Tamandua tetradactyla: one gene and its partners. The protein of the gene in region 4 purifies or fractionates together with the protein of the main gene of each other region. This does not show direct contact. Links are inferred from orthologs where the notes say so. Each region holds a gene or a part of one and is shown on either strand. Other genes may lie near its edges. The genes, in order: SPAG5, OTUD4, ARFGEF1 and MYCBP.

Evidence for each region.
Region 1: the proteins of MYCBP (region 4) and SPAG5 purify together in Homo sapiens (co-immunoprecipitation; 3 studies listed by BioGRID and IntAct, with this or other methods). This does not show direct contact. The link is inferred for Tamandua tetradactyla from reciprocal best matches to the Homo sapiens genes MYCBP and SPAG5.
Region 2: the proteins of MYCBP (region 4) and OTUD4 purify together in Homo sapiens (co-immunoprecipitation; 3 studies listed by BioGRID and IntAct, with this or other methods). This does not show direct contact. The link is inferred for Tamandua tetradactyla from reciprocal best matches to the Homo sapiens genes MYCBP and OTUD4.
Region 3: the proteins of MYCBP (region 4) and ARFGEF1 purify together in Homo sapiens (co-immunoprecipitation; 4 studies listed by BioGRID and IntAct, with this or other methods). This does not show direct contact. The link is inferred for Tamandua tetradactyla from reciprocal best matches to the Homo sapiens genes MYCBP and ARFGEF1.

The regions. Positions count from the first base shown.
Region 1 is NC_135332.1:51,827,256-51,835,181, reverse strand, and holds the start of SPAG5 (sperm-associated antigen 5), read left to right. Parts: upstream 1-4,920; 5' UTR 4,921-5,047; coding exon 5,048-5,098; intron 5,099-5,336; coding exon 5,337-5,462; intron 5,463-7,926. UniProt on the Homo sapiens protein: Essential component of the mitotic spindle required for normal chromosome segregation and progression into anaphase. Required for chromosome alignment, normal timing of sister chromatid segregation, and maintenance of spindle pole architecture.
Region 2 is NC_135348.1:22,904,345-22,912,108, forward strand, and holds the start of OTUD4 (OTU domain-containing protein 4), read left to right. Parts: upstream 1-4,759; 5' UTR 4,760-4,793; coding exon 4,794-4,952; intron 4,953-5,026; exon of another isoform or gene 5,027-5,154; intron 5,155-7,764.
Region 3 is NC_135332.1:111,147,054-111,154,278, forward strand, and holds the start of ARFGEF1 (brefeldin A-inhibited guanine nucleotide-exchange protein 1), read right to left. Parts: upstream 3,011-7,225; 5' UTR 2,491-3,010; coding exon 2,367-2,490; intron 1-2,366. UniProt on the Homo sapiens protein: Promotes guanine-nucleotide exchange on ARF1 and ARF3. Promotes the activation of ARF1/ARF3 through replacement of GDP with GTP. Involved in vesicular trafficking.
Region 4 is NC_135328.1:186,514,613-186,522,287, reverse strand, and holds the start of MYCBP (C-Myc-binding protein), read right to left. Parts: upstream 3,002-7,675; 5' UTR 2,984-3,001; coding exon 2,900-2,983; exon of another isoform or gene 2,705-2,899; coding exon 2,632-2,704; exon of another isoform or gene 2,251-2,631; intron 1-2,250. UniProt on the Homo sapiens protein: May control the transcriptional activity of MYC. Stimulates the activation of E box-dependent transcription by MYC.

The DNA of each region.
Region 1 (7,926 bases), on a different chromosome or scaffold from region 4:
ATTTTTATTTATTAATTCCATCCTTGGATTAGGCCATATTTTCCCTGTACATAGTTGGCATTTTATTGGCCTCTGAAAAATTGCTTTTTCTGAATTGCACTTTGGCATGGTGCCTCCTGTATTCATTGAAGGTTGTCTTAAAGAAAGTCCCTATGAAACTTAATTGCTGTGCATAATGTAAAGGACAGTTATCATTAAAATTCATAGTGTTCTATCTGAGGATGCATGGGAGAAATTTTTTCTGGTGATAGTTGTGCTTTTCCAGAATTGCTATTTGGTTTTCACCTTAAATACCCTGAAATTATTCAATTTATTGTATTTTTCTCTTTGTACAAGATGCTAGACCACGTAGAACCTAATTTGTGGCCCACCTCCAGCTAGTGTTTAGGACTTCATGTTGTGCATTTTGTGTGTTAGCCACATTCTTGGCTCCATCTTCCTTTTCTACCTTTTCCTTAACCTTTTTCTAAGTTTTAATCTTTTGATCTTACTATATTACTTGCGTCTTTGTAAGCTTTTTTGGAATAAGGTTGGGATATAAATAAATAAAAGAATGTATCCTTAATCCTTTTGATTATCTCATTTGTTTCTCTTTGGACCCTTTTCTAGCATTATTACATTAAAAAAAAAGTAGTAGTGAGCAGAACTGTACATTGAAAAAAAAACCCTGAATACTAAAAATAGGAATGATTTCCAAAGTAAAAACATTATGTTGAAATTCAGACCTGGTGCCCGGATCCACCAAATACTAACTCAGTGTTTTTAGACAAGTCATTTTAACCACTCTAGATCTTAGTTTCCTGGTGTATAAAATGAAGGGGTTACAATCTGTGGTTCTGAATTGTGGGGAATGAGTTTCAGATTTGTGTAACATTTTCTCAAAGGGCAGATGCAGAGATCTGATGCTATGCAATACTATGTGTCTGGCCTACTGTTAATGTTCAGGTTGCCCAGCAATATACTGGCCTTTCTGCTTACAGTAGCATAATGGGTTAGTCTTTAGGAAATGGTTAGCATAATGTCACTAGAGTCCTTTTCCTAAGCCATATTAGATAACTTAGAGACCAAGATCATATAAGTGTAATTTAAATCATTTCTTCTCAAATGATCACATTTCCAACCTTCTCTTTAATTAGCTGTTCACTACAGCAGTGTTTTGCAGGGTAGAGTGGAGAGGTTGATAGAGAATCAAAAGTTTCAGAAAGTATCACTGCCCCATCCTCCTTCCCGAACTCTGATATGCTCATCCCTAGAGGACATTTTCTCTTCCCCACCTCCCACCTCATTCAGAATAACTAACCTACAAATGTTACACCCTTTAATTATTCATATGATATTCACTTAAAAAAAAAACACCTTATATATACAACTTTTCTAATCACCTAAGTTTATTCCTATGCTTTGCTTTTCATTACCTAGGGAAGACAGGAAATACACTTATAAACACGGATATCTCACTCTATATTCCTCTCTTTTATAAGAATTTAAGATTAGTCCTAACAACCAATCTTATATATTCTTCTAGAAAAGTATTTGTGGAGTGCTACTCATTGTTTCAAATCACTAACCTAAGTTCCTTTATCATATATTGATCTGTTCATTTGTTTGTTTGTTCACTGATTTAACAAACTGGTACTCTCAATTCCTTTGTTACTTCTTTAAGGAGTCTTCAATGTAGAATCCTGTCAAGCATTTTTTTTAATTAAATAAAATCACATTCACTGGTTCACTTTTATGAAAATGCATTATTAACCTCTGTGAAGAGTTCTAATGTATTAATCAGGAATGATTTTTTAATTTACAGAAAAGCATACTACCTTTTTCCCTAGGTCAATTTTGTTTTATTCTGAGAACATACTCATCATTTCAGATTTCACTGGCCTCATCATGAATTTGTTGTTTATGGGGTCCCAGTGACTAGCAGTGGCACACTGCTTCCTTTGTTCAGTTCTCCATCGTATTCAGCAGCAGGGCTAATAATTCCACAATTTCATCCTTGAATTCACTCAGAACTGCCTGGTAGGTATTCCTCAAGGTAGCTGATTTGTTCAACAAAATAAGAAATCTCTAATTCAAAAATTAAAAATCTGTAACTTAAATTGAACACCTATCTCATATCACATGCAAAAGTTAACTCCAGATAGATTAAAGCCTTAAATGTGATACATTAAAACAATCTTAGAAAATGATCATGATGATGAATATATAACTATGTGATGATATTGTAAATTACTGATTATATATGTAGAATGGAATGATCATCTGGTAAGAATGTTTGTGTTTGTATGTTGGTACATTTAATAAATAAAATAAATTTAAAAAAATATCTTAGAACAACTGGGGGACTAGAACTACAATCAAGGGATGAATGAGATACCTAAATCAAGACAGAGAATAAAAAAACTGTAATTAAAGACATATTTAACCACATAAAAATGTAAAATCTTTCTATGGTCAAAGATACCATTAATAAAATCAACAGACAAACAATAGACAAAAATATATTCGTAATATGATGATAAAGAGCTACTGTCTTTAACAGAACTCTTACAAATGGGAAAGGAAAATGAAATAATCTATTTTTAAAAAGGGAAAAGGTATATGAAGTGAGAAGTCAATGCAAATATCAGTTGACTTAGAAGGCTTTCTACAAAACCTTGAGTGAGAAGAAAATGCAAACAAAAAATTACTTCATTTTTATAAAGGACTCAATGTATGTATGCATGTGCATGCGCTAGTACATTCATGAAAAAGTATTAAGAGAGAAAGAGAACAAGAATTTGGGAGACAGAAGTAATGCAAGTGGGAAAATAAGAGGAAAAATATAATAAAGGTTTACACTAGGCCTCAATCCCAAAGACTCATCAATTAAAATTCTGTATGTGTGATTGTGCAAAAAGAAATTATAAAGCACTAGAGCTACATTTACTGACATAGGAATATCTAGGATTAATTGTTAAAAGCAATTTACAGAGTCAAGTGTATAGTTTGATTCTCCTTCAACAGACTCACAAGAAGCCCCCTGTATATGTGCGTGTGTATGTTGGTGTAAATTTGTGTATGTTTGTGTAGAGGAGGGTAAAATGGACAGGAGAGGCTTTTTCTTTAATACATCTTTGCATTATATTATTTTACTTGCTATAATCTATTTTTTTAATAAAATAAAAACCAACAAATCAAAAAAATATTATGCAAAATAACTTCAACAAACTAATTCTGTTTATATTATCTATTATTCCCAATGGCATTTTCTTTTTCATCTACTCCATACATATTCCTCCTGATTTACTGCTGGAAGTACTACATCACTTTGGCTACAGCTGACATCTGACACACTGGCTGCAACAAGGAATAGCATTCCAATTCACACCTTTTTAAATTTAAATTTCTCCTGGCACTTAAGAATTTTCTGTCTTGGTTTTTCTGCCACTTCCCACCCTTGTCTTATTTGCTGCATCAATATTAACTAGAAGTGTGCCTTGGAATTGAGCCTTGGGCAATCCCAGGCTCAACTTAGTCTTCTTATATTGTCTTTTCCAAACTTCCCATTCAAGCAACTAAGACTGTTATGTTTCTAGAGCAGTGCTGTCCAGTAGAAACAAAATGAAAGCCATATAAGTAATTATAAATTTGCTAATAGCCACATTAAAAAAGCAAAAAGAAACGTGAGGGTGGCCACGGTGGCTGAGCAGGCAGAATTTTCCCCTGCCGTGCGGAGACCAGGAATCGATTCCCGGTGCCTGACCATGCAAAAAAAAAAAAAAAAAAAAACCAAAGAAACGTGAAACTAATTTAATCTATTTTATTTAACCCAACATTAAAAAAAAAAAATCGTTCCAACACGTAATCAATATTTTAAAATGAGACCAGTATTTATTTTATACCTATAGCACATCTCAATTTGGACTAGCCACTTGTGAAGTGCTTAATAGCCACATATGGTAGTGGCTACGTATTGGACAACATAGTTCTAGAGAAGCCCATCCCCTAAAAGCCCTGCAGTTCATAATTGTTCCTCCTCCTTGCCTTTTCCAAACTCGTTAAGATTTCTAGAATGTAAATAAGGTGCTGTGAGTGTTCAAAGGAACATACACTCTATCATAAACCTGCCTTTATGCTGTTTTCGAAAAGTTGATTCCACCTTCAACGGATAAATCTCCCCTACACACAGGATTTAAGTGGCAGGAGAACGTAGTAGTGGATTGTGTGGGTTGGAATCTTGGTTCTGCCATTTACTATCTGAGGGACTTCGTGCAAATTACATTGTCTCTCTATGACTCAGTTCTTTCATCTATAAACGGGGATATTTATAGTACTTCACAGGCCCTTAAGAGGACTAAATGAGCTAATAAAGCACTTTGGAACAGCGCCAGGCAAATAAGAAATGTTCAATACATGTTTCAGTAAACTTGTCTCAGGCCTTAAGTCCCAAGAAAAGACCAGAAATCCTGAAGAGGCATTACCGCCGCCCGGGGGCTGCAGACTGGTTGGGAACTGCGTCTCAGGCCATCGCGGATATGGGACCCACGTGCAAGACCTCCAGATCTAAGTGAAACGCACTCTTCCACTCACCTCGGCCTTCCTGACTCCCCGGCCGGCTCATTTCCTGTCAGGTCTGAAGCGGTACCTGAGGAGAGCCTTCCCAAGACCAGGCCTCGAGGCAACCTTCCTGACAAGGTGTGAAGGTGGTCCATTGGAAGGAAGCAGGAGGGATGGACATCCTGACTCTCCAGATACCTGCGGCGCCCTCCCTCACCTGAAAGCTCAGGACCTGCAGCGAGCCTGTCGCGTCCTGCCTGCCAACGCCTGCGCCTCGCGGTCGCTCGAGGAGAGTGAGCGAACCCCGTGGCAGGCGCGGGAGGCGTGCGACCCCCCCCCGGCCCCGCCCACCCGTCGCCCGCCGGCGCGAGTCCGGAACAGACGCGGCGGCCTGACGCACCTCGGCAGCCAATCGGGAAGCGTGGGGCAAGTTCAAATAAAGACGGCGGGTGAAGATGGCGGCTCCCCTCGGGTCTAGCAGGTAGTCGACTTGCCCTCTACCCCAAAGATGTGGCGAGCGAAAAAACTGAGCCTCAGCCTGTCGCCTTCACCCCAGCGGGTAAGCGGGAGAGCCTCGCGGAGAAAGGGATCTGGGGCGGGGGCGCTGGCAGTGCCGAGTGTCTTGGAAAGCTGGGTGGAGGCTGGGCCGGGGTCCGTAAGGAACCTTGTTCCGTCTGGCCTCTTCAGCGCTACTGAAGCCCGAACCTATTTTTCTCATCGTCTCAGGGGCCTCTAAGGGAAGGAGAACGGCCAGCCCAGGGCTGGATTCTTCACTCTCGCTCTCTTCTCTTTCCCAGGGAAAACCAGCTATGAGAACGCCCCTCCGAGAACTTATCCTGCAGCCTGATGCCCACACAAATTCTGGAAAAGGGCCCGCTATATGCTCCTCGCTGACCCCATCACTGTGCAAGCTGGGGCTGCAGGTGAGAGTCGCCCGGCTTTTCTACTGGGCACTTTGCCCAGGTCCAGAGCTCAAAGGAACAGAGGGCCAGGGCTGGAACGTAATTAATAACGATAATGAAGTCTTTTACCTCAGTAACATCCATTTACAGTTATTCAGGCCAACAGAGAGGTACCCGAGGTTGGTTAAAGGAAATCCACTGAGAGCCCAAACCTCTATTTAGCTGTTAGTTTTTATCATCCACTCAGCCTGTATTAAACTGCTGAGAAATACTATCACTGATCGGTTGGCTCCTTCTTACATTGGCTCAGTAAGGGAGAGGTCGATCTGTTACAGCTGTGAGTCAATATCCATCCACTCCATGAGGTAGTCCAAACTTTACTGGGGTCATGGGAGGCTGGGTATATCACTCTTAATATGGACCACCTTAGTTTAGTCTCTTGGAGCTGTGACCGCTAAATTCTGCGTTTGTCAAAGATTTTGAGAGAGGCAGCGGTATAGAAACTGTCAGATTAAGAAGTTGACCCCGGTCTGTAAGGTTCCTCACAGAAATTTCTTTTAGAACTTATCACCTGGAAAAATGGTCTTCCTGTTCTTGTCTTTTTCTACTGATAATGAGACCCATGTAGTTTCTCATATTTTTCCTCATCCTCTGGCTTCTAAGAAGCTCGGGATCATACTTGATGACCAGGTATAGCTACACTTACTTCCTGAAATTGGAAGATTTGCTTCTTCTTTCTTTTTTGTCTAAGACTTCATATCTTTTTCATGCAGTCTGAATTATTTTTGGAAGGAGATGGGATATAAATAGGTTTAAGAGTAGAAGAATATATAAAAACAGATAATACCCTGAGTAACAAGTTTGAGGATAGCAGTTTTTCTTGAAAGAGTTCCAACACTTATCATCCAATAGAACTTTCTGTGATGATGGAAATGTTTGACAATCTATGCTGTCCAGCTTGATAGCTGCTAGTCACTTGAAATGTGGATAGTGGAACTGGAAAACTGAATTTTTTATTACATTTGAATTTAAATATCCACATGTGGTTAGTGGCACGCATATTGGATAGTACAGCTTAAGAAAGAAAATAAGAAATACTAAGTGGGAACTGATGTCCATAGAGATTATAGAATGTAACCATAGCCCTTTAATCACAGTAATAGAAAAGACTAGAATTTGTGTCTCCTGCCCCTCCTAACTAGAGAGTTTGCCCATTCACCTTCACCATCTCATAATATAGTCAACTATACTAACAAAAAGGGATTTTTCCCCTACAAAATAACTATTATTTTTATTTTATAAATTTTGATTATTTGTAATAATGCATGTTCATTGTTTGAAACATGAACAATATTAAAAATAAGAAAATACTTTCCCACTGATTTAGATACCTCATTGATATATTTGAAAATCTTTTCATTTATCTCTGTGTGTGTCTGTTTTTGTATGTATTTACATAAATGCACATCCATGTATTATAACACTTTTTTTTAATCAAGGCACTTTTTTTCCCCAAAATGCAATATTTTTCTCCCTTCTTCCTTCCCTTCCCTCCTCCCTTTTTTCCTTCTGCTTAGCTCTACTTTTCCTTTCTTTTGCTGGTCCTGTGGAGTCAGTACTTCCAAAACATGCCTTGCTTTTCCCAAGCCATTTAACAACCTGCTGTGTATCCTTCTGTATTTTTCTCTGTTCTTTTAATAATATGCAAACATACATAGTTATTTTCATGATAGAATCATATTATATACTTTTTTTGCTCTTTGCTTTTTTCATTTAACAATGTGGGTGGAAGTCACTGTAAGTCAACTTTGTAGAACTAATTCATAGCGTACCATGGTATGTATAAATCACAATTTATTCATTAATGGATATTTATTTTTCTGTGTTTTTTTTTCTACAAACAATCCTGGCGTAAATATCTTTGTACATGTATTAGGTACTGATGCTTTATTTTTATTATTAATTTTTAATTTTTTTTTAAATGTAACAACAAACAGACATTCTTAACATATGATCATTCCATTCTACATATATAATCAGTAATTCACAATATCATCACATAGTTGCATATTTCTCATCATGATCATTTCTTAGAATATTTGCATCAATTCAGAAAAAGAAATAAAAAGACAGAAAAAAATTCATACATGCCATATCCCTTACCACTCCCTTTCATTGATCACTAGCATTTCAATCTACTAAATTTATTTTAACATTTGTTCCCCCTATTATTTATCTTTATGCTGTATGTTTTACTTGTCTGTTGATAAGATAGATAAAAGAAGCATCAGACACAAGGTTTTCACAATCACAGTCACATTGGGAAAGCTATATCATTATACAATCATCTTCAAGAAACATGGCTACTGGAACACAGCTCTACATTTTCAGGCAGTTCCCTCCAGCCTCTCCCTTACATCTTGACTAACAAGGTGATATCTATTTAATGCGTGAGAATAACCTCCAGGATAACGTGACTCTGTTT
Region 2 (7,764 bases), on a different chromosome or scaffold from region 4:
CCTTCCCCTCTCCTTCCTTTCCCCCCTTGCTCCTCCCCAGCTATAACCCCTCTCCAAAAAGTGGTGGGTTCAATTCATTTATTTTTCTTTCACAAAACGATTTGAAAGTGAGTGTTCCAAAGCTTACAGGCCATGAGGCATTTAGAGACCCCAGTTCCTCCATCTATTATCTTTTTGCATGCCCAAAGCTGGTCTAATAGTTCAACCATCTTTCCAACCCAGCTTATAGGAAGTGGGAAAGAGAGTAGAGGGCAGATGCTTCATCTTCAAGATGACCTGGAAGCTGAACCCATCAATCCTGCTCACATTGCATTGGCCTAAATACAGTCACATGGTTATATTCAGCTCCAAGGTAGGTTGGGAAACGTGGTCTGAAGCTGATCAGCCACAGACCCAAAACTCAGGGGAAATGGGATGGGAAGTAGAGGAGTGTTAGGGATCTCTTGCACAGAAGATCTGGAAGAAACTGTTCTCACTTCATAAAATAGGTTCTTTGTAGGATTCAGTTGCTTGACCTTTTATAGAAAATAAACCAACATGGTATGTCGCAATTAAGTCCAGACATTTCTAGGTTACTTCATTTATGTGAGAAAAGATTTTATAAATAAATTTTAGAAATCCACTTACTGGCTAGTTTGTTTTTGGTAAAATATTTCACATTTATTTATTTATTTTAGAGAACTTTTAAGACCACTAATGATATTAATTAGTGATTATTTTCATGAATTATTGAAATACATTCCATATCAACCTAGTAAAGAGAATGAATGGAGAATTCTATCTCTATTGCTTATCTATTGCTGTATAAGAATTATAACACTCCAAAACTTAACAGCTTAAAACAACAAATGTTTATTATCTCAGACAACTTAGATCAAGAAGCTCAGAATCTCAGTCAAGAATCTCAGAACTGGAAGTTTCTGGCTCAAGATTTCTCATGTTGTTGCGGCTGAGATGACTGCCAGGCCTGCAGTCATCTGAAAGCTTGACTGGCCTGGAGAGTCTGATTTTAAGCTGACTCACGTGGATGTTGGCAAGAGGCTTCAGTTCCTTACCAAAGGAAACTCCCTAAGTCTGCTCACAGCACATAGAAGCTAGCTTCCCCCAGAGTGAGTGAACCAATAAAGTATTTGAGAGCAATCCAAATGCTGCAAATGTTTTTTTATGATGTCAGAAGTGACATGCTATCACTTTTGCTCTACTCAATTTGTGGACGGGGTAGGTTGGGGAGGGGTGGTGAATATCCAGAGGCAGGGATCATTGGAAAGTAACCATCTTTAGAGGCTGGTTACCTCAATACCTAATTTCCTATTAGGAAAATAAAAATCCAGAAAATCTGTTTTTTAATAAAAATTTAAACAATTCAGTCCAATGCAATCAGTCTCTAGTCCCAAAGTTCGTCAGAGGAAACAAACCGACTTGAGGTATTGATTGTGTACAAGAAGAGTTGGTTGACACGTTGACATAAGGTGAATTTGATTAATTTTACTTGGTTCTCAGGAATTACAGTCTTTTAGGTTTTATTTGATTAAAATGATAGCTGTTTAAAGAAGTTCTGAATTTTGGCAGGTCAGAAGTGGCTTCCTCCAAACGAACATTTTCAATCAGAGCTGGTCCCTTGATAAGTTTCAAATGTTAATGTTAACATATGACGGGCCTTTGAAAATAAGAGACTTTCTCTAAGTTTTGGTTCAGTTTAAAGTCCTAGGATCCTCTAATCTAGGTTGAACACTGAGCTATATTTGGGGATTTGGCATACAGAGGGTCTGTCTTGGATTAGGTCTCAAAATACCTAAAGGATTTCCTTAAACAGGCCCCTGGGTCAGAAAAACAGGTGCATGACTTCTAATTTTGGAACCAGAAGCAGCCAGTTTAGTGTGAGGCTGTTCTGCATTCATTCAGCAAGGGTGAGGACAATAAGTAATTTTTGGCACTACATCAACTCTAGGAAAGAGTAGAAATGGTTATTCCTTCAGATAACAAACCACAGTTTTATAAGATCGTATAGAATTGTGGTAAACTGATAAAGGCCTCTGTTTTCTTAGTATTTAGTAATTCATTTTAAAAATATTGAAAGCAAGCCCTAGTGCCAGACTCTACCAGAATAGTTACAATTTATTTAAATGATCATGTCTTCTTATATTGATAATATTTTTGTCTTTGGATTACATTTTTTGCAATGGAAAATAAAGTGTAGAATTAACGTGTTTGGTTTCCTTTTCTTTTTGAAGTATTTCTAGGGAGTTCTGGGGTTTTAGAAGTTATAACATTATTTTTTAAAAAGTCAGCACATTTGAATAGGATTAAAATATGGATAATCCATAAAATAAAAATATGCTTGAAGCACTGCCAGTTTCCCATGAATGTAACTTATAAAAGTGAGCAAATCTTTTTTATTTGAAAACTCTTTTTTAAAATTAAAGTAATGTAATCATGACATTTCAAATACAAAACAAGGGTTGATAAACTTCGAAATGTGAAATACCAGGAAATACAAGTTTCTATTATATTCTCAAGATATTCAGCATAAAATCTTAGCATGTTCTATACAGCTCGTTTCCTATAAATATATATTAAATATGAGATTAGCTTCAGAACTTATTGAAGGAATATTAAAATAAAAGCTTGGAAAGCCATGGTTTTCTTTAGTCATGGCAGAAAGTATGTTATTTATAAAATTAGTGAGATAGAATCTATTCATTTCTGGAATTCAGTATTAAAACTCTACAGTTCAGACATTACTTTGAATTCCTCTGTGGGTTTAAAAGGCAAGCCATGTTGTGAGTAGTGGCAATACTTGGCAATTTTAAGATAGTGTAATGAGTAGCATATGCAATGTAAATATACTCAAAGAAAGAAAAGCAACAGATTTGATCTGAAATTAGATTTTTCTGAAAGTGATTCCAAAGTGTTTCTATACTATCTGTAAAAAATTTAATATTGGGACAAAGAAATCCTTTCACGTAGGTCAGATTAACGTCTGTATTCTCTGAAAACAGCACAATTTGAAATAGACTCTTTAAATATTAAGAAATCAAAATTTAGAAGCTCCAAGGGAAATTTACGCACTACTACGTAAGTGCTTGTACCTAAAGAACTGGAAATACATTTCTAAGAGAGTTTTCATTTATGTTTTTCACTTATGTAACTTATGTTAGACACTCACCATTTAGCCTCCCTTGGCCCTATTTCAAAGTGCTTATTCTACTACCTGTCTAAACCTATAGAATCCCTCTACTTTCCCTTCTCCCTCCAAGGCTTCAAAGCTTGGAGCAGTTTCTACAATTAAACACATTTAAATAAGGACTCCAGACGCTGTTGTATTTTAGCAAAATAAATTTCTGGCGTCCAAAAAGTATGCTGGATAAATTCCGGGTTCTAAAGCCTCTGACTCTGCTTTGCCAATTTCCTCGTCATTCAACTTTGGAGGGTAGGAAATTGAGCTGGAAGCCTCAGCGCTCTTAAAACCCATGGCAAGTCTGGTACCTTATCAAGCAATTACAGGACTTTTTTTTTTTTTCTTAAGAAAGGATAAAATAATTTTAACTTTTTTCTGACCGCTGACTTAGTTGTCTGCGTGTTTGGGGGCACAGCTACAGTGAGGCGATGGACAAAACCGTCTGTGGCAAAGTCATCACCTCGCCGTAATGCGTGAGCAGTATTTCTAATTTCTAAAAGGAATCATCAGTCCACGGTTGATTTATGGAAAGCGTGTGTCGTGCCTCACGCCGCCAGTTCCAGGAGCCTTCGCCAATTAGCTCTATTTTCTGCTTAAGCCATTAAAGCCACCTCCATGGAAACGCCAGGAGGGTAGGCCGGGGGAGGGGAGCAAACAGGTGCGCTCTCTGGAAATACACAAAGGGCCGACATTGCCGCCGCAGTGTCCCTGGCAACTCCACGCACGCAGGATACGCGCACTTGCGCGGCACCGCGGAGCAGCCGGCAGCCGGTCAGCCCGGGCGGCGCGCGCAGGCGGCCGCGCATCGGCTCGCGGAGACCCTGGGCCTGCTCGCGGCCGCGGGGCCCGGGAAGCGGGAGGCGGCGCCGGCGCTGGCGCTGTAGGGACTTGTAGTCCGCGAGCCTCCCGGGCGCCTCCTCCGCGTAGGCCGGTCCGCGCGTCCTCACCCGCCGCTATCCGACTTCCTGCCGCTGCCAAAACTACACCTCCCGCCGACCTCTCCGCTGTCGGGCGGAAAGCGAAAACAAATTCTGGGCTGCGAGGGTGCAACCCTCCTTCGGGTGCCCCCACCCGCTCCCCGCCCCTCCGGCGTCCTCCCGCGAGGTGGGGAAACGAAAGGCCGCTTCTTTCTCTTTTGGTTTCCTCGGCTGCTTGCGTGGGGAACGCGTGAGGGACGCAGGCCTCGCTTCACCTCAGCCGGCCCGGCGCCCTCGCCCGTGCGGGGCTTTGCTCGCCTCACACCAGTCGGGACGAGGAAACTTGTGGAGGCGGTGACCCCCCGCGCCCTGTCCAGTTCCTGAGCCGGGCGGCGAGGCCACAGGGAAGTGACTCCTCACTCTCGGGTTTTTCTTTAATTTTTTTTCAACGTGCTCCGCCTGGGCGCGTGGTCCCTCCGGGCAGGCGGCCGCGTGCGAACAGCCATGCACTAGGCAGGGCTTCCCCTATGCGCCCGGAGAGCGCGGACCGGTGCCTCGGGCCACTGCCGCCTGCTGCCGCCGCCAGCGGAGCCCGAGCCGGAGCCGCCGTCTGCCCTAGGCCGGGGCGTCGAGGAGCCGGCGGCGCGGCCATGTGGGGCTAGCCCGCGCCACGCCTGGGCTGCAGGAGCACCGGCAACATGGAAGCGACCGTCGGCTTCCCCGACGGCGGGGACCAGGGCGGCGCGGGGCTCCGCGGGGACGCGACGCCCATGGATGCTTATCTGCGGAAACTGGGCTTGTATCGGAAACTGATCGCCAAGGACGGGTCGTGCCTTTTCCGGGCCGTGGCGGAACAGGTAATAATTTGGCGGGGGTCAAGGGGAGGCGGGTGCGGCCGCGGGCAGTTGTCGGGCCGCCGGGTGAGGCTGCGCGTGGCGCCGCTGTCGTCATAGCGGCCCATTGTAACGCCGGAACGGGTTGCTGCCTTAGGTCTTAGAGCTATAAACCGGAATGTAAAAGCCTGTGAGATGACTGGGTGTCGCCTCTCCTGTTGAAAAGGTAATGAATCGACGACAACTTATGAGGCCTGCTCTGAGCCATGTACAGTTTGTATGCTTTGCAGGCTTGGTGAACAGATAATTTTCTGTTTTGTTCCGCATTCATCTTCCCTTCGTTCTCTAAGCATAACGTTCACATCAGTAAACCAGATGTTTCCTGGAGGAGGTGGCGCATCAAACTTTCCTCGTGGAATATGTGTATTTTTGTTACCAGGCTTTGGAATGTGGGGTATTCAAGCCTTCCGATGTCATGTCACTCAATCAAGAGGGTAAAATTTGCAATTTGGGAAAGCGCACTTAAGAAAAACAGGGTTTTGAAAATTGTCTTTGAGTAAATTCCCCCTCTCACTACGTTCTGCAAGACAGTGTAAGTACACAAAAACGGAATTCTTTTTTTAAAAAAGAATTTACTGTTTTGGTGTTAGTAGTAGGCACGGCGTAAGTGGAGAGCCTCTAGGCCCTCCTTGACCAGATGTTTCCCTGTTAGTGGTCAAAATCACAAAATTGCTTAGGGCGGTGCTTCTGTTCCTTGAAAGGGCTTATTCCAGGCTGTATAATACATGTGTAGCTGTAGGTGTGCAGTCACCAAAATCTGGCTTTATTGAAAAAGAACTACTGAAGTAGTTGGGTAAAAGTTTTACATTACTGCTGTAGTCTGTATTTCACACCTTTCAGTTTGCTTAAAATCTGTGCCCTGTCCATGAGTTTTTTATGATCTTCTCACCTTTTTTTTGAATGCTAGTTAGCTTTCAGGGTTTTTGTTTATGAGTAAATATTTTACTTAATGAACACCTGGGGAGCAGTCCATCCTCTTTTTCTTTTAAACTTCACAGACCAGTCATCACTTTTCCAAAGATTGCTGTTTTCACTTCAGTGACATAAAATCTTTTCTTTAAACAAGCAATTGATTTAACAAGTATAAGCCATTTTCACTAGGTTACAGGTATTGTTTTTCAAACTTTCTTCCTAAAGTTCCCCAAACCAAGCTCCATCTTTTTCAATTCCATTAGGTTTTGCTTTTTAGAAAATGGAATGTTTGGTGTTCCTGTGGTGTACTCTCTCTTTCATACACATACGCGCATGCGCGTATTAATTTTCCGTCCCCTTTTCCTTCCTCTTCCTAAGACTCCCTGAACTCCTTAGAACCTCTAGAAGCTGGGGGAAGAAGTGGGAGTGATTTCAGCCCATATTTATACATACTGTTAGCTGTAGCAAGAGTCTTATAAGGAAGGAGGTAGAAACTAATTGAAATAAGAGAAGTTTGGAGTGTATTTGGAGTTGGATTATCCAGGCTGTCATTTATATTGAAACAGAAAGGTGTATCTGGTTTCACCATTACTTGCTATAAATATTTTGCAAACTTGATTATACAGAGGCGTGTAAATTATTGTAATGGGATCTCTAAAATTTTTTTTCTTAGTAGAAAGGGGCATCAGCTAGTTAGACTAAGGAATCATTGCTAACATCAGATAACACTGTTTTGGTGTATCTTACTGTACTAGGATTTACCTTAGATATAAGGAAATATCCTCCAATTATGTGAATGGTTTTTAGTACTGAGCTTGGAAAGCTCAACACTGTGAACTTGGGAGCACCCCACTTCTAAAGTAGACTTGGACTAAGGGTATAGCAATCATAGCCAAAGGCAAAGTGTATATGGGAAAAGGGAAATAACAGTGGCCTCAGGCTCCTCCTATAAAATGTGTACAAAGGGTTTTGTTTTTTTTGTCAACTATTTCTCCTATGAAGTCAATATAAATATCCCTCATTTCTAAGAAGGAGACAGAGTAAGTAATCTAAAGGCAGTCTTTAGAGAGATTGAGTTAGGAGGAGTCTTTCCCTCCACATTACCTGATTTAGATAGGGAAAGATAGGCCTTTCCCTTTTTGCACTTGTAGAATTCGGCCTGCAGGAGGCTTGACCTCAATCAGCTCCACAGTTATGGAACTAAAAATAGGCCACTCTTAAGAGGACTTGCTAAAGCAGTGTGCCTTAGCCTTTCCCAGTTTTTATCACTATATTGTTCTAAGATGGGAAAATCTCGTAGTTCTAGCTCATTTCATGCATATAATAATTTGCAAAGATAGGTATATGTCAAACCCTTTTAATTCTTCCTGAATTAAACTTGCACAATCATTTTTTTTAAGTTGTCATTTAACCTTGCTTCTCTTGCAGTGAAAAGAGTTTCTCTTGCTTTGTAAAGCTTTATAAAGCACCCGTGCCTCCACACTTTGTGGATGTTGCTGAGGATTGTGCTTCTGATTTCATATGCCAAAATCTTTCTTAGAAGAGAAAAAAATGAGATACACTTGCCTTTATTATTTTTTTTGTTGCCATTGTTTTTGATGGGAAATGAGCCCTTATGTCTGCCACCTGTTGCTAGGTAATGGTTTTAGGACTAGCTTCACTTTGGTAACAGCAGGAAAAGTCTTATCAGATAATACTGTGGTTGATTCATAATAATGTTTAACATAGCTACTGTGAAAGACATTTTGCTAAATTTCATTTGTTGAATTGGCTGTCTGATTGTATGGTGATTATTTCACATGTGAATAGTCTTTCCAGTGTTGGAATCTTAGTGCTTTTCTCTAGTGTTACAAGACAGTAATGA
Region 3 (7,225 bases), on a different chromosome or scaffold from region 4:
AGACAAAGTTTCAGTGGCAGGGAGATTTCAAAGAGTCAACAGGTTATTCTAGAGGTTATTCTTATGCATTCTATAGAATCCCTTTTTAGTTTATGGTGTATTGGAGTGGCTGGAGGGAAGTACTTGAAACTTTGAGCTGTGTTCCAGTTGCCTTGATTCTTGAAGACAATTGTATAAAGAAATAACTTTCACAATGTGACTGTGAGATTGTGAAAACCTTGTGTATGTTGCTCCTTTAATCCAGAATATGGACAGATGAGTAAAAAAATAAGGATAAAGAATAAATAATCAGGGGGACAAACAGTAAAATAAATTCGGTAGATGGGAATAATAGTGATCAGTGAGAAGGAGGAATAAGGGGTATGGTACTATGAGTTGTTTTTCTCTTTTCTTTTTCTAGAGTGATGCAAATGTTCTAAAAAATGATCATGGTGATGAATACAAAACTACGTGATGGTACTGTGAGCCATGGATTGTACACCGTGCATGGAATGTATGTGTGAGGATTTATCAGTGAAAATATTTTTTAAAAAAGTAAAAAGAACACAGCATTCACATTTGTGACACATTAAAGGGGATGTGAACTTACAGTCATTAAGTTCAATATCTTGATTTTTAAGGCCCAGGGACTTGCCTGATATGGGATCATAACAATTGAGATTCAAATCCAGGTTCCCAGATTCTCCTTCCAGTAAGCTCTCCATAAAACACACTTATTTGTATAAGTTTTTTTGGAGAGGGTAAATATTATACACAACACACACCATTTCTTCAGTCTGACATTTATTATAATGAATATAATATTTGTTATATTACAAATATTTTCTAACATGAAAAATCTGAAGTATCAAAAACTAAATGTTTAGGCTGAATCTTTTAAGTTCTTTAAGCCTACAAGTTATACATATACCTACATATAACAACATTTTTTAAAACTCTGAAATCTCAACCTGTCACAATTTAATAATTATTTCTTTCAGGACCCAAAAATAAATTAAATTTTTACCACTGTACCATTATGTTCTCATATACCTGAAACAGCATTTTATTAGCTACGAGAATAACAAAAGGCGAACTTCTGATCCATGAGAGGTGCAGGAAACTAAACTTAAGCCCATTATACATGGATGCAAAAACTTTAAGATGAAATTTCTTTGATTTTTTTCAATATTACCAAATTTAAGGATCAAAAATGAAGAAAACAGTTAAGTAAATTAAATCATAGCCTATTTATTTTAATATTCAAAAGGCAAAACTATTTTTAAGCCATCTTGACCCTTTATTTGGCATAAACATACAAGTATTCTGGATTCCTTCCTTCAAGAACACTATTTTCCAAAGCCTATCCGTTTTAACAAGCTTCCTTTTCTCATCAATTTGGCCTAGTCTGTTTCTAGAGCTATGAAATAAAGCCTAAGCATTAGAAATTCATCTTTGTGTTAAATGTCCTGATCTCTCCCCTTAAACGACTTCATCTTTGATGGATGCGATTGAACAGTGTCCCCCTCTTTAATCATTCCTAAATCCACGTCCTTGCTATAAGTACTGTTTAGATTTATCCTGCTATGAGCTTCATTACACTAGATCTCTTCCATCTGAACTATAAATCACAATTCAAGATTGCGAGCAGCTGCCGCTGTCCAGACATGTGGCTGGTGGGTGTCATTGTCTTTTTCCATTTTCCCCATTTCAAACCGTCCCATCTCCTGTCACGGAAAGCCAGTTTATCTAAAGGTCCTTTTCCTCCCCGCTTTTATACCACTACCCCTAACCTCTGATCATGTTCTTCCAGGTCAGCCCAGTCAATACATTACTCTGTTTTGTTTTGTTTTTCCTGTGGCGGAGGCGGAGAGATGTCAGAACCGGGTGCACCTCTTGTAAAACCCTTCGCAGAATGTCAGCAAGGAACAACTTCAGCCTTATCTTTCCAAAGTACCACGCCGAATAAAAGTTATCGTAATTGCGATACGAAACCCTCCCCACACACAATCTTGACAGAGCAGCTCCACCTCAATTTCCATGCTAATAAACAACAGCTCATCTTAGGCTTCATCACAAAGGGTGGTATCCTATCCATCCCGCACAGCCCACCAACAAAATTCTCTTGCAGACTCGAAGCAGGTGCCGGGCAAGCCCAAATCCTGCCGCGCACCTCGAGCCCAGCCAACTTCCCTTCCTCCTCCACCCTCCCCTGCCCCACATCCAGTCGAGTTGCGATCAACTCCTGCCAGGCAGCGGAGAGCTTCGCGAGGGCTCCCCGAGGTCGTGGCGCCGGACGTGGGCAAGCCCCCGGTCGACCCCACCTCCGACGGGGGCCGCCGCCGCGCCAGTTACCCCCACCTCACCCCGGGCCTCCCGTCACTCACCTAACGCCACCTCACAAGCTTTGCGCAGCTGGGAGTGATGCGCCTTCTTCACTTCCTTGTCGGCCAAAATCTTCTCCAGGGCCCGGGTAAGGAACATGTTCTTCGTCTTCTTCCCCTCATACATGGACGCAGAGGAGGCTGCGGCTCGTCCGACCAGTTGCTCCCAGAGGCCGGAGGGGGGTGGTGTGAAGGAAGTGGGAAAGAGAAGAGAAAATAGAGGGTGGAGATGGGGGATAGGAGGCGTGGAGGGCAGCGCAGGAGCAGGAAGGGGCGGGGAACTGGGACCAGCCGCGGTGCCCACCAGGAGCCCGAGGTCCTCGCTGCCCCCCGAGAAGCCGCCCCTCCAGGGCCGCGCCCGTCGGGACTCGGCTTCTACGGGCCTGGGGGTCGCTTCCCAGCCGCCCCTTTCACTTGTCCCTCCGGCCCCGGCGGAGGTCTGCCAGGGACCGAAGGCCGAGGTGGCGGGGGCTGAGAGGCCCGGCGAGAGCAGAACTTCCCTGGCTAATGTGGGGTCAGCACCCGAGGCGGCCGAGGACTGGCCTCCATCACCGCCGACCTGCCCTAGCCGCCATGTTGGGAGGAAACGACGCGTCACGCAGCGGCCGAACGGCTGCAGAGGAGGAAGCGGCGGCGGCGGCGGCGGCGGCGGCGCTGCTTAGTCCAGAGCTGCCGCGGCGCCGGGAGGCAGAGGCGGAGGACGGCGCGGGAGGAGCGACCCGAGGCGCAGCGCTACGGCGGCCCGGCGGGGCCTCGTTGCCTCCCGCGTTCGCCCGCAGGGCGGCGTGGGGCGTGGCGGACCCCGGGACCGTGCCGTGCCCTCCCACCTCCTCCGAAATGTTTCGCTCTTTGGGAGGGTAAACTAAAACCAACTCACAGAGGTTCGGGAATGTTTCATTTTTTCATGTATCTGTAGGATAAATCAATGAACTAGGTTTTAAGTCACTTCGGTGTTGAGTCTGATTCAATTTGCTTAACAAGTCAATGTTTCTGAGTGATGTGGTCACCTGGAGCCCAGTGTTTCTATGCCTTTAACACTAACTTTCGGTCCAAGAAATGAAAAGAGCTTTAAATACAAACAGATGATCCTAAATACACACAAACGTGACCATGTGTCTGCTTTGGTACCAAAAAAAGAATTCAAATATCTACGTTATTTGAGGAGAGAATTACGGAGACTACTATAAAATGTACGCGAACAACTTACTATAAAATGTACGCAAACAAGTGATGTTGGGGGCACTTCTCAGATAAGAACCTGAAATCTATTCTTCCAAGTTCCAAGCCACTGTGTGTTTCCATCAACACCCCATCACTAATCCTTATGTCTCTCTTACTATTCTGTTCCATTTCATTGTCTCTACTCTGAACTTTCTCCTAATGCGACTGTGCAAACCGATGAATGGAAAGATTTGGAACAAGCTAAAAACCAGAAGAAATAAAAATGGAAGACCTTAAGATGACTAATTTTTAGTACTGTTATGCTGAGTGACAAATCCATTAATTCCATTGAAGATTAACAAATAATATAAATGGAAAAGAAAAAATGGAGCTAATATTTATATCAGTTAAAAATAGAAATAGACACCAACTGGAATTGTAGCACCAATTAGGAAAGGATTCTAGTGGAAAAAGCAACTGGATTCTATTCCTGAATTGACCACTTGCCTCAGCAGGACTTTGAACATGTCAGTTACTGTGCATGTTCATCTGTAAAGTAGGAAAAAATTGATCCCCATACAATATAGCCAGAATTAAAATGTGTTTATTTATTGATCTGAAATAAATATTTATTAAAGTGTTAGATACTAATACCAAGTGGTTATATAAGTATTATCAATATGCAGAATGCATTTTTAAAGTTCGAGAGGAATTGCTCTACAATATTTACACAACGAAATACTTCTCAAAACTGATTTGTACAAACATTATCAACTCTGTAAGTTTAAAGAAAAACAAGCAAGGAGCCACAAATAGTTTTTAAAGTCTTTCTCTAGATTCATGGAAATTGGAGATTCAATACATTCCTAGATCATACATAATATTGACTGCTTATATACATTCTGATAGATTAAAACCTTTTTGAGAATAAGCTCCATTTATTATTGACTTTGTTTCTTTACAATGCCAGTGTTGTGCCAGGCACTTTGAAGGTGCTAGCTGATCACTGATTACATTTAACTCTTCTTCCTCATCACAGAGATGCGTTGTATTCCCCAACTTCCTTTGCAGATATGTGTGTTCATCCAGACTTAGCCCTTTGTCTTAATTTCTTTGGCTTAAGCAATGTAAATTTATTGGCTTATAGTTTTGAAAATAACTCCACATCAAGGTGCCATCGAAGTGATGATTTCTTGCCAAAAACTGGCATTCTGGGGTTGGCTGTCCTGTAATCCTTGGTCCTGGATTTCTCTGTCACATAGCAATGGACATGGCAGCCTCTCTTGGCCTCTCCCTTCTCTTCCAGGTTCTGTTGACCTTCAACTTCTTGCTTCCCGTGGCCTTCTCTCTCTTTCTGTCTTGACTTTTGCTCTGCTGATAGAGGACTCCAGTAATAGGATTAAGACCTATCCAGATTGAGTTGGGCCATACCTTAGCTGAAGTAATCTCATCAAATGCTCCTACTTACAATGGGTTCATTCCCACAGGAATGGATTAAGTTTAAGAACATGTTTTTTCTGGAGTACATAGCTCCAAACCACCATACCTTTTTTTTTTTTTTAAATGTCCTACAGAAATTTTCCACACTCATTCCTCTTCTTTGCCCATATGCTGAATATGGCAGAGATCCCTCAATTACCACTTGGAGGAGAGTTGGCCACTCATTAGGAATACCTGTTTTGGATTTTATGTGAGCAAAAAAGACTCTTCAGTTATGTTTAGCAGCTAGCTTTATCCTATTGGGATTCCTTAATGAGCAATACAGAGAGAAATCCCTGCTGCTCATAGACTACTTTATAGCTCCTTTATAATCTGAAATCATCTGTTCTGTTTGTTAGTTTATGGTCTATTTCCCCAATAAGTGTAGGGATCTCATCTATCTTTTTCACCCAACACCTAGTATAATCCTAGATATATAAAGGTCTTTAGTATAAACTTAGTGATTAGAAACTTGGGACAATGAAAGGTACTTGTTTAGGTCAGGCATGATCACTGCGCTTGTAAAGCTGATAGTATGTAGCCACAAGGAAAGATATTAAACAAGTAATCACTAGTTAATATATGATTACAAATGTGTGAGCTGTAATTAAAGAAGAGAGCTATGAAGCAATCTACTTTAGATTATGGATTCAGCTATGGCTTGCCTGAAGAAGTGACATTTAAACTGAGAGCTGAAGAGTAAATTTAGCCAAATTAAGTCAAGGAAGAGCTTTCCAGGTAACATTCTCTTGAGGTGGAGGGAAATTTGATAAGTTTTAGGAACAAAAAGATTAGAGTGGCTGAAAGGATCAAGGGAATATGGTGTCAATAAGAATGGAGGAGGACTAGGCATACAAGTATTGTATGATCTCACTTATATGAAATAACTAGAATATGCAAATTCACAGAGACAGAAAGATGATTACAGGGTACTAGAGGTGGCAGTGGGAGCAGGAAATGGAAAGCTAATGCTTAATGGGTACAGAGATAGGTAATGGATGGTGATGATGGTAGCACAACATTGTGAATATAATTACCACCGCTGAATTATCTACTTGGAAGTGATTAAAATGGGAAATATTATGTAGTGTATATATACATATATCATATTAATTTTTTAAAAAATGTTGGGGGCTGACAAGAGCAACTGAATGGGTAGGGACGCAATTTGTGGAGATGGGCTAGATTGCAAGAGAAGCAGTTTTGAGGGTGGGAATTGCAGTTTTCAGTTCCAGAAGAATCAATGCCTCTGAGACATGACCAACCCCTTTCAGAAGCAACAACCTACATCCTCCTCTCTCCCAGAGGATGATTCATTTCCCCTTCCTGCCAGGTCTAGGATGTCACCTAAAAGGTTTTAGGAATGGTGGTATGGAAGGAATAGTCTTGAAAGGATATTAACTCAAAATATTAACTCTGACTTGGGGCAAAAATAGAATAACACTTTGGAATAAGGCTGATGTCCTTGGAAGATAAAGGGAAAGATACTATTTTTAGTCTTTTGTTGACAAGTTCACAGGGTGCTGAGAGGAAGGGACTGGAGGGTGCCAACTCAGGTAATTTTTACATAAAATTATGACTGTATTGCACCGTACATTTATTACCTTTTTCTTTTTATTATTGTTGTTTTGTTTGGTGCTTACCCTATGTATTTAAATAAGAAACCCAATCTTAATATTCACTTGCATTTGATTCCTTGCTGTTTTCAAAACATTCAAATTCTGTGTACTGATTTGCCTTTCATCCTCTAAATTTTAAAATATATTTTTCTATGCATGATTGCTTTTCTGAGTCCATTTGCCTGTCATTGTGCAACCTCGCCTTTCTATAGTCTGACTACCCTTCATCTTTCCTTTCATCTATAACTTTGCTACACACTGACAGCCTTGTCTTTACTCTGTACATTTTCCCCACTTTGGTTCCAAGTTGTCAAATAATATCAAAACTAAAAGATGCGTATCTGGTTTTCAGTTTCTTGGTGTGCTTTATTATAGTCCTTTTAACGTATAGATATAATTTCAGCGTACGATGAAAATTAAACAAACCGCATAAAATTTTAATTAAGATTGTGCATATTTGATTCAAGTTAAAAGGCAATATTTGTTAGCATCATAAAGAGTAACATTCATGTGACTAGGAAATTACTTCACCTCCAAAAGCCTTGCACATGATCTCTAAATCCTATTAGTTTTCAATCTGACCCTTCTTGACTTTCAAACTAA
Region 4 (7,675 bases):
ATATTCTTCAAGAATCAGGTTTCACACACAGCATGTTAATTAACAACCAAAAGCTTTACCAGTAACAGCATGCTTAAATCCATAATACACTTTAATGTCTTCATAACATATAGCTCATGTTAGCACTACTTTGCTCATCATCTAGCGAACAAATTCCTCTTAGAATTTACTTTTAAAAATCTGATAACAGCCAAAACAAGTTACAGTAAAAAATGTGCTTATCTAAGCCCCAAGTTACGAGCCTCCTTACATGCTTCCCTTTGTTTTTCAATCACTTACCGAAATAGAGACAATATGAAAAAAACCAAATAGACAACTACATTTAATTTACTTTGAGTTCTAATAGTTACTCTTCATCTCTCTAAATGCACTTATAATGCATTTTTTTAGAAATTGGCATATTTACACCTTTCCTCTCCTCCTCTCTCCTTTCAATATCTGATATTTATAGTACTCTTTAATTTCCCATATTTACTACCACTTCCTTTAAATTATATGCTCAAACTTGTTTCTTCTTCCATTAATTTCCATTGTCCTCCAGTAGATTCCAATTTTATAAGACATGGGTTTATAAAATTCATGGGTAGTTACACTCTACCCTTTCCTCTGCTTCTTCCCCCACTGACTTTTTAGCTTCTAAGTTTTTGTGAATGATAATTACAAAGTTAGTAATTACAGAATATATATTTTAAGTTTTCTGTGCTTTTCTATAGATGACGTATACTTCCTTTTAATCAGACAAGAAGGCTCTACCTGATCATGTTTCCTTAGCAGCCAGGAATTTTAGAGGTGGAAATAGTGCTCAAAATAATCAACTTATGTGCTACTAAGATGCCTCTTCTTCTAAATTATTTATAATCATCTTTATCTTTAGCCATCCTGCCTTATAGTGTTTTAATGTTATAGCAGTTCCAAATTCTCTTGGAAATACACTGAATAAAAATTATATATTAAATCTGTCTAAAGTATATAATGTTTGAAGCTGAAAACCAAAGTTTAACAATATTAAATAGTCTGACTTTATGTAGGGAAACTGAGGGGTTAGATTCCAGTGGATGCGAGCAAGTGAGAGGAAGCTGGTTCCCAGTCTCCCGTGAAGTAAAATCCTTATACCACAAAGCTGTGCAGCCATCTACCACAGCCAACATTTCTCTGCCCTTAACTATTCTCTCCTTCACTCACTCCATCCCACCACTCTGGCAGATTTAAACTTCTTGGAACCCCTGACATCACATAATACTTGATATTCAGGTCTCTGATCAAACTTAACTTCTTAAGAGAGGTCATCCACCACCACATCCCATCTATCACTCTTTATCCTCTTATCTTGCTGTCCTCTTATTCATAACACTAGCTGACACTATGTATTTACTTATTATATGTCTCCCCCAACTAGAATATTAGCTCATGAGAGCAGGGACTTTTTTTTTTTATTTCCACTACTGTCTCCCCAGTGCCCAGACCTCAATAAAATGGTTAAATAAATGACAGAAATGAACTTACGGAGTTTTTTTGGCTGGAGGGGCTGGCAACATTCTAAGCATTGGTGATACTTTCAGAGGCAACATAGTATAGCACTTTCCCTTAATGTTTCGTGAAATTTATTTGCAAAGAGATAGGAAAACTAACATCTGAGCCCAAAATAGATAGCAATTCAGAACTACCATCCCATGCAGGGGAATTAAAAGCTCTGCTTTCTAGTAAGACCCACAGTTATTTTTCTCCCAGAATTTTCCTTTAAGCTTTGCTTGTGCCCGAAGAACAGTTAGCAAATTACTTCTCAGATACTTCCTATTCTTCTCATATGGACCCAAGACCTCCTCCCGACTAGATCGTCCACTCTACACCCTTGAAAATCCCAGACAGTGAACTGAAAGATACACAAGCACTGACACTACGCTGAGCTAATAAACTAAACTGCACCCTGGCTATCTCTTGGAACCTTCCAGTTTCATTCCCCTTACTCATCTACTTAGATCCTGAATCCCGAAGAAGAGATAATAGTGTAACAGTAAGCTTCCATGTTTAAAAGCGAAAACAGTATAACCATTTTGGTGTGCTTCAGATTCTTCAAACTGTAATTCTACTTTAAGTATGAAATCTGCACAAAATAGGAGTTAATATAGACTAAAAAATGGGAATTGAAAGCCACAGCCAAATTGACTATGAATCGCCTACTTGGGTTATTAGACTCAGCTACTTTATCGTCCACTTTGTCTGCTAATTTTCTCACTTATCCCTTTGTTGAAGGGAAGATGTTTCTCAACAATATTCAGAGGGCTCCGTAAAAAACGAAGGTGGGAAGAATCCGGATCTCAAGATCTTTAACAAACACGCCCGCTGCGGCTGCTCAAGGCAAAGCAACGGAAGTTGGAAAGACTTTGCAACAGCTGCAAGAGTTTCCACTCCCCGACCCAGAGACTGGTAGCGTGAGCTAGGCTACCCCTAGCAGGGCGGCGTCCGGCAGCCCCGCCCGGCGTGCCGCTCCCAGCGGAGCCCAAGAGCCACCTTGCTGGGCCAGGTGGGTCCCACCTGTTCCCCTCTCCTTCCCCAACTCACTGCCGCGTCCGGGGCGCACCGCCGGGGAGCCCGACGAGGGCAGGAGGAACCTTCTATCTAGCCCATGCTCACCCTTAGTCAACGTGTCCAGCACCCCCGACTTCTCCAAGTACCTCCGGAACTGCTCGCGCTTCGAGTCGGCGGCCTGAGGAGACACGGCGGGTCAGTGGCCGAAGCCCGGGGACCGGAGCAGGAAGAAGGCTCTGGGAGTCCGGCAACCCCGCCTCCGCCTCACTACCTCAGACCCCCAAAACCTGCGCGCGCGTCCCCACTCCCACCCGGAGCCGACCAGCGGCTGGCTACCGCCCGCACGTCCCCAGCCACGCCGCGCTCCCCTCACTTTGTAATGGGCCATAGTGACAGCGGCCGCGGCGTAGCTGGCGCCTGAGACCGTGGCTGGCGGGCTCCGAGCAGTACTGCTCATGCGCGGAAGGGCGCAAGCGCCTGCGCACCTGCAAAATACGGTGGGGAATCGCCGGGGCGTGGCCTGTTATCATGACGACCAGGACGCTCTGCCTCTCCACAGCTGACTGAGCCGAGGGAGGCTGCGTACGCCCGCCCCTCTGGCCAACGGAGCAGTGCTTCTCTTTCCTCTTCCGGTCCACGCAGCGACTCGGTTGCTTAGCGAGAGGCGAAGCTTTGATGATTCTGGACCAGTGAGTGAGTGAGTGTCCAGGTGGGATTGGAGATGGGCGTGGCGTTCGGGAGCGGAGTTTGCGCAGCCCGCGACGTTGGCCGACGGAGGACCTTTCCAAGTGGGAGCCTGGAAGGTGTGCTTACTGGTCTTTGCTCACGATGATAAAGGGCCCGTTGCAGACGCAGGTCGATCCTTAGATTTCCAATGGCCTGGAGAGAATGTTTAGAAGTATGTTTGGGTACCAGCTTTTAAGTTTGTATTTTCCTTGTTGTTTGGCTGACCTTGACCTGGGCCTCTGGAAGGTGAGTAGTAAATAATATGCTAATAATAATAGCTAGCACTTTTGAGCAACTTACTGTGTGCCTAGCACAGTACTCAATCCGTGTGTTTCTGAGTTTAATTCTAACCCTTCTTTGGAAGGTTATATGCTGTTAGTAAGGTGGAGGAGAAGTTAGGTGACCAGTGTGTAGCAGAGGCAAGACTCTGATCCGAGCAGTCCCACTCGAGAGTCCCCTTTTAATCACTAGTTAAACTAGTGAAGAAAAGCCACAGATCTTTTTAACATTGTATTTACTAAATAGCCGCATTATGGTTGTTCTCAAAACACATTAGTTTTCTATGATGAAAGTAAGTTATTTAGTTCTGGGAGCAAATACATTTTACCCAGTGTCCATAAATAAAAAGATTGGAAATTAAAAGAAGGGAATTATATAGAAAAGAACAATCTCCTTCAAAGAGAAAACCTGGTTCCACACCTTTTTTCTCAATGCTGAATATTCAGTTGTCCCCAAATCAGTTCTTCATACATTCTGAAGGGGGTGATGAAGAAGTAACCCTGATTATAACTCTGTCTTTAAATTTAAAGCTACTCTAGGACTTATCTTTCTTTTTTCTTTGTTTAAGGGGTTTATAGGTGTCTATCTTCACAGCTGGTCTTCAAAGATCTATTTTGTCTCCTCTCACTAGACTACTTCTATAATATCATATGCAGAATGTTTGAAAGCCACCAGCTGTTCAGATCTGAAGGTCTGTGGGAGCCCTCCTACCAATGAAGTTGTTGGTCAGTGACACTAAATGATTTGGAGGACAAGCACTAATGTATTGTGGGTTCTGATTAATTCAAATTCAAAAGGCAGTTCTTTCAGAGATTCAGGAGTACCTGGAATGTCAGGTGGCTGGGAGTCACTCTGAAGGAGGAAGGGTCTGATTGTGCCCTCTTTGGACTGGCTTTGAGGCTACATTTTGGACATCCAGTTTTGATCCTCTGTAGAGGAACCCCATGTTCCCCAGATAAGCTGCTTTGGTTTCCTGGTAGAGTTTGGGGGACTATCCCACACGGTTGTCCAGATCTAAACAACACTTGGAATAGAAAGAAATGTGATCTCTAGAGTAGTTCCTTTTGCTGACTTTGCCATCAGTTTCTTTTTTCCTTTAATTGTTTACACTTATTCAAGTATTTTATGAGTCCCTTCATGATTGTTTGAACTGATCTGTTGAAGATGACTCCATGTAATAATAATTGTGCATATCTCAGAAACTATCCTGATCATCTGAAAGACGTTTGTTATTTCTAAAGTGATTGTCACTATTTGCCTGTAATATAGATGTATTTAAGTGAGGGTACGCTGTTACGTGAATTTGCTTTTCCACTAACAGATTATACTCAGGTGCAGTAGGAAGTTGCTTCAGTGAGTTTATAGATGGGTGCTGATATTTAGCAGGCTTTTGTTTTCAGTTGTTCACATAGAATTCATTATGTTCATCCTTCAATTTATGTTGTCCCCAAAGCCCTCTTTTAATCTTATTAAAACCAAGGGGGACAATTTCTAGAATATTTAAGAAAAGTGAAAGAGTGACTATGGATTGCTTAAATAAAAGTAATATTGTCTTTTCAGTTGGTCTTGAGACAAAACAATTATATTTGGACATGAGTAGCTGTGGCGTTTAAATAGAGGCTCTAAGTGAAATCCATATAAAAGATACTGTAGAATCATGAAACCAGCTTCAACCACAGAGCAAGTGAAAACGTGTATCACATAAGTGCAAAGTCAAGTTCCTCTGAATGGAGCTTTATTTAGTTTCTTTGCTCCAGCTGACAAAGTTCTTGCTCCAATCTTCTCTGATCCCCAGGCATTTCAAGCTTTACCCCTTCTAGTTCTCTTCTCACTTGCACTTTCACCCTCTGCCTCTCTTTCTCCAAAACGATCAGTCTGTTCAAGGCATGGCCCATGTATGTAGACCAGGGACGGTGAAGACACAAATACCACCTGCAGAACCCAGTATCTAATGAGGGAGATAGGAAAGGTCTGGTCATAGCATACATTTCTGTAGCCGGTTGTAATGCAAATAAAGACAGACTATATTGCAAATGAAGACAGACTGCTCATCATTCCATACATCTTCAGCTGCTGTGCCCAGAGCAAGCATTCGAAATATGAACAGGATGGTGAGCCAGATATTCCCAATTATAGTGGAGTGAGTATGAAGTTCCTCCAGAATAGGAAAATTCCAATTCAAGGAAAATTCCAATTTCAAGGAAATTCCAGTTCTCCATGTTTACTTATTCCGCCATCTTAGCTCTGAATCCCATCAAATAGGAGATAGGTGAATTCTTCTGTTCTGAAGAATTTCTTTAAGCAAACCTATAGCCAAAATTTGAACAAAGCATCATTCATTGTGTTGGTTGCTTTACCTTTCCCCTAGATAGCAGTAATAATTATAACTAGGAAAATATTTAAGATAAGTCAAGAATTTAAAATCATGTTTAGATTTCATAATGCAGTTTTTAAAAGCGTGAAACCTGGGGTAGCAATGTATATATTCTTTATTAATAGAATTGTAGAAAGGAATCTTCTTACTTAGTTTATAGGAAGTTTGTCTTGTTTTTAAACTGGGGAGCTTTATAGAGTTTTCCTAAACCTACCAACTGGATCTTACATATCTTTTTATTAAGATTATTTTATATAAAAGTTATTACTAAGATTAATCATTTAACTCTCTTGTATACACAAAGGAAAATAAATGTTCTCCATCTGATAAGTAAGATATAGCATTTAATAAAACCAGAGGAAACAGATCTGGCTTTTACTGTGGAAATTGAATTAGTTTTTTTAGTCCACAAAAGTTGTCACCTATTTTGGTAGTGCCAAAATTTTATATTACTTGAAATCAATGCATCATTGGTGTAGTGGTGTGTTCTAGTTTGCTAGCTGCCAGCATGCAATATACGAGAAATGGAATGGCTTTTAAAAAGGGGAATTTAATAAGTTGCAAGTTAACAGTTTTTAGGCCATGGAAATGTCCCAATTAAGTGTATAGCAAGTGTATAGAAATGTCCAATCTAAGGTATCTAGAGAAAAGTACCTTGATTCAAGAAGGCTGATGAAGTTCAGGGTTTCTCTCTCAGCTGGAAGGGCACATGGTGAACATGGTCAGTGTTTCTGTCTCAGCTGGAAGGGCACATGGCGAACACGGCATCATCTGCTAGCTTCCTCTCTGGCTCCCCAGGAGGCGTTTTTCTTCTTCATCTCCAAAAGTCGCTGACTGTGAACTCTCTGCTTTGTAGTTCTGAGGCATTCTCTATTGTGGCTTTCTCATGGTTCTGACATTCTTCTCCTCTCTCTCTGAATCTCCCGCTTTCTCCAAGATGTTTCCTCTTTTATAGGATTCCAGTAAAGTAATCAAGACCCACCTGGAATGGGTGGAGACATGTCTCCACCTAATCCAATTTAACAACCACTCTTGAGTCACATCTCCAGGGAGATAATCTAATTAAAATTTCAAGCATACAGTACTGAATAGGGATTAGAAGAAATGGCAGCCTTTTCAAAATGGGATTAGGATTAAAACCTGGCTTTTCTAGGGTACATACATCCTTTCAAACCAGCACACGGTGGTATTATAGAAATTTTCATTGTATCAATATCTGAGCTATTTAAGACATGTAGCTTGCTTTTTTTGAGGGAGCAATAGAGAAACTTATAATTAACTGGATTATCAGCTAGTGGGTTCCATATTAAGGTTGATAGCCTGGGCTCTCAAAGGAAAGATAAAAAGAGTGACTTTTAATTCACTTTCATAAAAAAAAAAAGTCTATCTTATATCCCTTGTATAAAGGAAAATGTTACACAAACAAAATACTAGGATGGTATAACTACAAAATAGGTCCATCACAAAAATTCCATGAAGTATGTTTCCCCATTTTATAATGGGGGAAACTAGGGCCCACCTTAATTGATTTACCCAAGGTCGCACAGTTGGAGCTGGCATTCAAGTCCTATCAGTCTGGCTTTTAGGTCTATTCTTGATATAGAATAGTATGACCCCATTATTGTAAAAATATCTATTTCTTTGTAGCGATACATACAAAAAGTCTAGAAGGATATTCATTGAAATATTACCTATGATTATCTCTGGGTGGTGGGACTATCATTTACTTACTTTTTAATAATTATATATACGTTAACTTTTTTCTTTTTT